Linked DNA regions of Caenorhabditis elegans. The protein of the gene in region 2 binds, or shares a complex with, the protein of the main gene of each other region. Each region holds a gene or a part of one and is shown on either strand. Other genes may lie near its edges.

Region 1 (3,758 bases), 7.7 Mb from region 2:
TATGTCCATATATCGTTTGAATCTCTCATTTATGGAAATAAATTTGAAAAAATCAATCATTGAAAAGCAAAAATTTCATTCAAATAAAATGATGTTGGTGAATTTAACACAGAAAACAGGGGGACTTGATTTATAAATATAGACAAAACGAGAATTAAGCATCGGCCATCTCAACAGCGGGCTCCGGAGCAGATGGAGAAGGACCAGCCTTCTCGGGTTCAGTTGCCACGGCGATATCCATTGGAGATCCTGCAGAAGCATGGGAACATCCACAGCCACCACCAGCTTGGCGAGCAAACAATAGTTGTTTCACGAGATGAGAGATTCTTCCAGTTTCAAGTTCATCTCCGACTGCCTTTGCATCGGTCACGACTTTCATCAAAGCTTCATGTCCATCGACACTTCTGTCATTCAATTGGAGCTTCTTATCGACGGCCGACAGCTTCTGATTGATGTCTTGAATTTGATTGTTGAGGAATTCGACGTTTGAGAAGAGTGGAGAACTGCTGAGAGTGGAAATCCAATAGCTGTTCCACAGAGAAGTCAAGATGTGAGCGTCTGGAATTTTAATTATTAAAACGGGAAAGAATCGGAGATGTTTCTTTTTCAATTGAGACCAATTTCCCGTTGAGATGTTTAATATTATTATTCTTATTTTAAAAGTTTAAAATTTCAAGCTATTCGATTCCAATAAGTTTAAACAATCCAAAAAACAAAGCTTTGAATATTGGATTTTACAGTTGATTGTCCTTTATCGTATTTTTATTATGTAATTCATTCCCGATAAATATAAATTTCACCTACCAAGTTGTGATTTGAAGAAGCTGACGTCAAGCGAGTAGTATCGTTTGCAATGTACACCGAAATCCTCAATCTTTGCGAGAGGAATCGACTGATACTCTGATGGAACATCATCTGGTGGACGGTATCCTTCTGGATATGTACGGAATGCGCCAATGTCAACCTTTCCGGCAGACATAGTTCTCAATGGATCAATAACAATAGCAACCCATGGCTCTTGGAACTTTTGATTGAGTGTCTGCGTTGAGACGTCGATTCCGGATAGCCAGCATCCATATCCAGGATGAGAATGATACCATCCGACGACTTTCTCCTTTCGACCTTCCGTATCGCACATTTCAGAATAAACTGTCATGTACTCGTAGGCTTGAGCTTGGGCATTGACTCTGGAAATTTAAAATGTTCGAAATTACTCCCAGCGTAAATCATTTCACCTGGTCTCAGTACCCTCAACTGGAAGAGCGAATACATCAAGAATAATGAAAGAATTAGCATCGATTCGACCTTGCAAAAGTCCCATAATTTCCAGATTTCCACCTCTTTTCGCGTGCATTGTCATTTTCAGAAGAGCAATTGCAGATATTTTGATTTGTTTGAAATAATGTGGATCTTTATCCCATGGTTTTGCATTTCTGATTTCTACTTGCTGCTTGTTGTTGTACTCGAAAATCGAATCGACATTTTGGACCTGAAACACAAATAATATTAAAAATCTAAAAATATTTAAGAAAAACTGACGTTATTTTCTTTTTCCCAGTTTCTCTGCGGAACTGAGCTGGATGGCTTGACGTTATCAACTTCCATCGTCTGAAAAAAGCATTACCTTGCTAATATTATTAAGAAATACAATCAATAAGACGATAAGGGCATGAAAAATGATAATGAGATGATTTTACATGAAGAATTGAAACAAATTAAGTAATTCTCAGATTATAATTTTTTTAAATCGATTGAAACCAACAAAAACTAAAAAAAATCTGAAATTTGAAATGAGAAAATATCTGTTGTTATTCTAACAACGACACTCCAACTTTCCGTTGGTGCGCGTTGTTTACCGTAAACCGACACCAAGCGGATGTACTACAATTGGAAGACTTGATTTCATAGAAGAACAAATAAATAGGAGAAATGTATTAAAAATGATTATGGCGGAATAAGATATTTAAGTTTTAAATGTCCTAAAGACTGGTTATCCAGCTTGTTGCATTGTGGATCCCTTTTAGAGAAGTTGGCATTCCAGTTCAAAGGTTTTTGCTCAATTCCAGAAACATATCATCAATCTGGTGTAGTCTAGAATGTATACTACAAAATACTGAACCTCATCAATGACCCTTAAATCTTCCAGAAGAATATTCATGAATACTTGCTACTGCAAGCAAAAAGTTTTATAAAAGCCACAAGCTGAGCAAGAAAACATTTCGCAGAAAAAATGTTATCCGCAATTTTCCTGATTATCAACTCGTTGGTGACTGTTTCAGGATATTGTGTTAATTTATTCCTCCTCCACGTGGCAATATTTCATAGTCCGTCTATTATAAGAACATTCTCAATTGTCATTATTAACATGGCATTCACTAATTTTGGAGCATGTCTTAGTGGATTTCTGATTGGACAACGAGTTATTCCAGCTGGGAAACAATTATTTTATATTTCCTATGGAATTTGCTCAAATTTAGGAGAACAGTTTTGTTTTGATATGTGAGTTTGACGTGGAAAAAAAAATGAATGTCAATGGAAAAATGTTCCCGTTTCAAGAAGTTTTTGAAACAGAAGAAATTTGAAAAACAATTATATGTAGGTAGATCAAATTGTTACTGCCCTATTTTTATATTTATCTTAACATTATTTAAACGAGGTTTGGACGGGTTTAGTAAGATGAAAAATTTTTTAAATGGGAGAGGGCTAAATTTAAAAAAAATTAAGTCTTGAACTATAGAAAAACAATAAAAATGGATCATTGTCAAAAGGAATTTTTAAAAATCCTTTAAATCGATGAAAAAAATTAAAATCTAAACATACACTTAAGAAATGTATAGAGTGTTTAAAAATTTCAGTCAGAGTTTCGGCAAATTGCCAAATTTTTTTTGCGAAACTTTTCCCTTTTTGAGAAATTTCATGGATCTCTGCAGGTTTGAAATTTTAGAATTTATAAAATTAATTAATAATTTCGAAAACTCAAAGAAAAATTTATTTTTGGTAAACATCCAAAATTACGATTGCTGAAGCCTAGGACATCAATTAAAAATTAGTTCCAAAAAGTTTTTGAAAAATTTAACTAAAAGCAGTTTGAAATATTTTTCCATTATAGTATATATTTTTCCACATATTTTAGCAAATTAAATCCATCGAAATTAATAAAAAAAAGGTTTCCCCAACAAAGATAGTTTAAAAAAACAGTCTCCACCCACTTATAGGCTCTCTTATGCGCCTGAATCAAACTTTTTTCTTGCATAGGTTTCAATGACAGAATACTCCAATTTTTTAAATCTCCAAAAAAACTTTTTCCAGATTCGGAGCCCTTCTACATTTCCACACTCATGCTCTTTGTCTCATTTTTCTATCTTTTGCATACCGTTTTTATGTGATGAAACATCAAGAGATCTCCCGATGTATTCTTCAAGTTCTCATATTTCTCATCTACATTCCATCATTTATACAATTAATTGCAATGCTCTTTTTTCAAGATACCAATTTTGCAGAAATTCGAATTTTATTCATAGAATCTCTTCCACAACACAACATAACAGATCTTACTGTAACTGGAGCTGTGGATATATTTCAATTCAGTACACCTATTACAATTGGAATTCGTGTTTTAGAAAGGAAAATATTGAAATTATTGATGTTAAGAAGAGTGGATTTGTCACAGAAAACGAGAAACTTTGCACGCTCAATTACTCCGGGTTAGTGTTTCGGAAAACTACATAGAATTCTAAAACTTAGTTTTGAAAAATATC
Region 2 (3,758 bases):
CGAACCGGATGAGCCCAACGGCTTGTCGATTTTCCATGGAATCCATCGTCGGCGAGAAGATCGGCTCTTTGAGCTGACAACTTGTTCCACACATTTTGCATATTTCCGAGAAGAGTTGTCAATCTTGGCATCAGAGAGAATACGGTCATTGTTTTCTCTTCCTTTTCGAAACTATCAGTGAACTCAGCAGCATATCGATCAATGGTTTTGAGCTTTTGAGCAAGCAAGTTAGCTTCCTTCAAAATTTCAAAATTCGGTTGAAGTGTTCCGTCTTGCACTTTTTCGAGATAGGCAACGATTAGCTGAAAATTATTTTTTTGTAAAAAAAATTAAAGGCGGAGTAGTCGAAATTGTTTTATTGCTTTATTAGACTCAAAATTGTCTGAAAACACCGAATTTCATAATGAAACTTCTTGAAAATTTCTCAATAAAAAGTTATGACGGCTCAAAAAATGGCCTAAAATTAGTTAAAATTTGAAATTTGACCGTCTTGCAATGTTGCAGCGGCTGGAAACAATTTTTTTTTTTGAAAGCACCGTCAAATTTTGAGCATACAATGTCATTATCTTGCGTTTTTAACTCGATTTGGGTACTTTAAAGTCGATGGACGGCGAGATTTCGTAAAAAAAAAATTAAAAATATCGCCGTCCATCGGCTTTAAAATACATAAATGAAGTTGAAAACGCAAGATATTTAAATTTTATACTCAAAATTAGATGGAGATTTCAAAAAATTAGTTTCCAGCCGCTTGACAAGTCGGTCAAATTTCAAATTTTAACTACATTTAGGCTATTTTTTGAGCCGTCATAACTTTTTTTTGAGACGTTTTCAAGAAGTTTCATTATGAAATTCGGTGTTTTCAGTCAATTGTGAGTCTAATAAAGCAGTAAAACTATTTCGACTATTCCACTTTAGTTTGCTGCTGTATTGATTTTCATAACGAGATTTCTCAAAATAATATTAATAAACTTTTTAAGTATGTCAAAATTTCAAAAAAAAATAAGAGCCAAAACTGTCTAAATTCTGAAATTTCGCAAACTTTTCATGTCGCAGCAGCTGTTGTTACATATTTTAGTCGTTTAGCTCGCAATTACTAGTAAATGGAGGTACTTTTTTCAAACATTTTTTCCAAAATTAGGTGTCAATCGACTGAAAATGTGTCTTAAATCAACGAATTAATGCGAGATAAGATCGAAATATGCATTTTAGCGAATTTTAGGTATTATTTTAAAATTTTTGAACCGCTAAACAGCATTTTCAGAAGTCTCATTATGAAATTTTGTCTTTTTCTGGCCTCCAATTTCTCGAACGCACATCAACCCGATTCTGAAGCATGCTCATTGCTGCATCTTGAGCCTCCGCGTGTTTCTTTCCAACTGATTTCCCGTCTTTTCCATGTTTCGTTGATAACTTAGCGATATGATTAACACCGACACGTTCACTTTCTTCCGACACTAAAATCCATTCAATTGGCTTATGCTTCTCCTGATCAGTCACGTCTGCTTCAAACGCGAAAAGTGGAAGTTTACGAGTGGTTCCAGCAGTGATAGAGTTGAGTTTAAGGAAAAGTGTCGCGTCGATTTGTCCGGCTTTCTCTGAATTGCGAACCGCATTGGTGAGTTTTGAGAGAAGAGGTTTCTCTTCGGGAGTCAGATTATCATCCTCCCCAGCACAATAAAGACCGATAACTTGGAGCTCGGGAAACACTTCCAGATCTGAAATTTGGGGAAAAAAAACTAAAATGAGCAAGAACAGAGTAAAACTGACATTGATCTGCTCTTTGAAGGAGATGCTCCGTGCTAAAAGTAACCGGCTCAGCCATTTCTTCTGTCTCCATTTTCAGAACAAATGAATTGATCGCCTCGACTTGTCGTCCATTCTGCCGTCCGAGAATTGCTCCGAACACTTTTTTCACAGTAGGACCCTGTTGGACCTTTGTTCTGGAGTAGTGTTCGGACATTTGCATAATAACCAAAGGATGCAAAAGCACCTTCGAGCTACAGCTCCCGCTTGGTGCGTTCAATGCCATTTCTGAAAATTATTTCGAAATTTGGTTTCGAAATCGGTTTTTTTGTTTCAAGCCAGATAATGATTTGGAAATTTTGAAAATATTCCTGGATTCACTGGTGGAAAAACAAGCTAAACGGGAATTTTATTGATTCACATTGACATAAGTTTTACAGAACATAAAACTTCCTACAAAAAAGAGATAATGCAATCGAGTGGAAATTATTTAGGATCCTGGAGCCTTGACGTGGCTAAGTGGTGGAAGTGGAGTTCCGTTGACCAACGAGATGAGGTTGTAGATGGCGATGACAAAGCAGATGTAGGAAAGGACCTTGGCGATCTTGCTGACAGCGACATCGAATGGTCCAGCCTCTTCGGACTTCTTTCCTTCGAGAAGAGCATTGGCGTAGGTATCAACTCTTTTCTTGAGGATTGGATCGTAGAGTCCGTACTTTCCCATGACAAGGTTTCCGCATTTGGTTCCCTCTGGCAGACGTGGAAGGATCTTTCCTCCGGCTCCGAGTTGCCACTCTCCTGGGTTCAGTGGATCGAATTGTTCGAGGGTTGGTGGGGTCTTTCCGGCGTTGGTTGGAACAGCCTGGAAGCTGGCGGTTCTCATGGAAAAGCGAGCGACGCCCAAAGTCTTTCTCAAAGCCAACGACATGATTTTCCTGAAAAATGTGTTTTAAAATGTGGAGAAAGAAATAAAGAATAAAAAAATGAAATTAAGATAAGAAAAGTGAAACGAACACTTTTTATGAACATAACAAATATAATTTGTTAAAAAGAATGAAAAGCTTTATTTATAAACAAGTATTTACAGTGGCCATGGGCACCACTAATAAAATGGAAGAGGACTGGCGTGATAAGCTCGTTTTCCACATTCCAGAACTGCATCAAACAAACGGAAAAGTCCAGTATCTCTTGGTCGCTCTAAACCTCTACGCATTCTTCTCCTCATCACAGCAACCATTTCTTCATGTGATAATTTTCCATCCAAATTGTCATCGAACAAAGTAATCACCACATCCACAACGTGATCCGATAGAGGTATTCCAGTCACTTTGACCGCAACTCGTTGAAGTAGCTTCGCATCTATCGACATTCCAGCCATTTTATGAAAGTGTAGAGCAATATCTACATCGTCAATGTGATACAAAAACTCGAAAAATGCTTTCGTCTCTCCAAAACTGATTCCTTTCAAATTTTCTCCTTTAAATCTTCGTTTAACCCGCTTCAACATATGCTTCTGTTTCTTCTCATTAATTTGAGCATGAAGAAGGAGAAGTTGAGCAAAACTATCTTCGTTGATAAGTCCATCCGGGTTATCCAGTGCATCTCTCCGTTCAAATTCCATCTTTAAAATGTCGTGTTGTAGACGCTCTTGAAACTCGATAAATTTTTCAGACGACAAGCTCCCCTTTCCGTCTTTTCCAAAGAAATATGTTTCGAGAGCGGAGTTTGTCTCGACACGGAACGACTGGTTTGGCGTTATATGATCTCGATGACGCTGTCCTACAGTTGTTTGGGACATAATAAGCTGTTGAACTTTTGTGAATTCTTCTTTATCCAGCGCACCGTTCCCATCTACATCGAAGATTTTGAATGCGAGAGCGAAATCCGCGTGAGAGGCTGGAAAAGTCAATGATATTTTGAAAGAAAAACGAGTATTAAAACTCACTTGAGAGCAGAGTCATGAGAAACAGATAATCACTGAAGTTTATGAGACCGTTCTCGCCGAGCTTGTAAAA

The links. The genes of interacting proteins can lie anywhere in the genome.
Region 1: csn-6 (region 2) and csn-5 share a complex: the UniProt entries of both Caenorhabditis elegans proteins name them as parts of the CSN complex.

The regions. Positions count from the first base shown.
Region 1 is NC_003282.8:5,647,383-5,651,140, reverse strand, and holds csn-5 (COP9 signalosome complex subunit 5), read right to left. Parts: upstream 1,609-3,758; 5' UTR 1,606-1,608; coding exon 1,540-1,605; intron 1,490-1,539; coding exon 1,236-1,489; intron 1,188-1,235; coding exon 805-1,187; intron 559-804; coding exon 155-558; 3' UTR 62-154; downstream 1-61. UniProt on the Caenorhabditis elegans protein: Probable protease subunit of the COP9 signalosome complex (CSN), a complex involved in various cellular and developmental processes.
Region 2 is NC_003282.8:13,299,101-13,302,858, reverse strand, and holds the start of csn-6 (COP9 signalosome complex subunit 6), read right to left. Parts: upstream 2,036-3,758; 5' UTR 2,030-2,035; coding exon 1,768-2,029; intron 1,716-1,767; coding exon 1,315-1,715; intron 303-1,314; coding exon 1-302. Other genes in the region: kdp-1 (KASH (Klarsicht/ANC-1/Syne Homology) Domain Protein), read right to left, coding at 2,234-2,671; micu-1 (Calcium uptake protein 1 homolog, mitochondrial), read right to left, coding at 2,846-3,639, 3,689-3,758. UniProt on the Caenorhabditis elegans protein: Component of the COP9 signalosome complex (CSN), a complex involved in various cellular and developmental processes.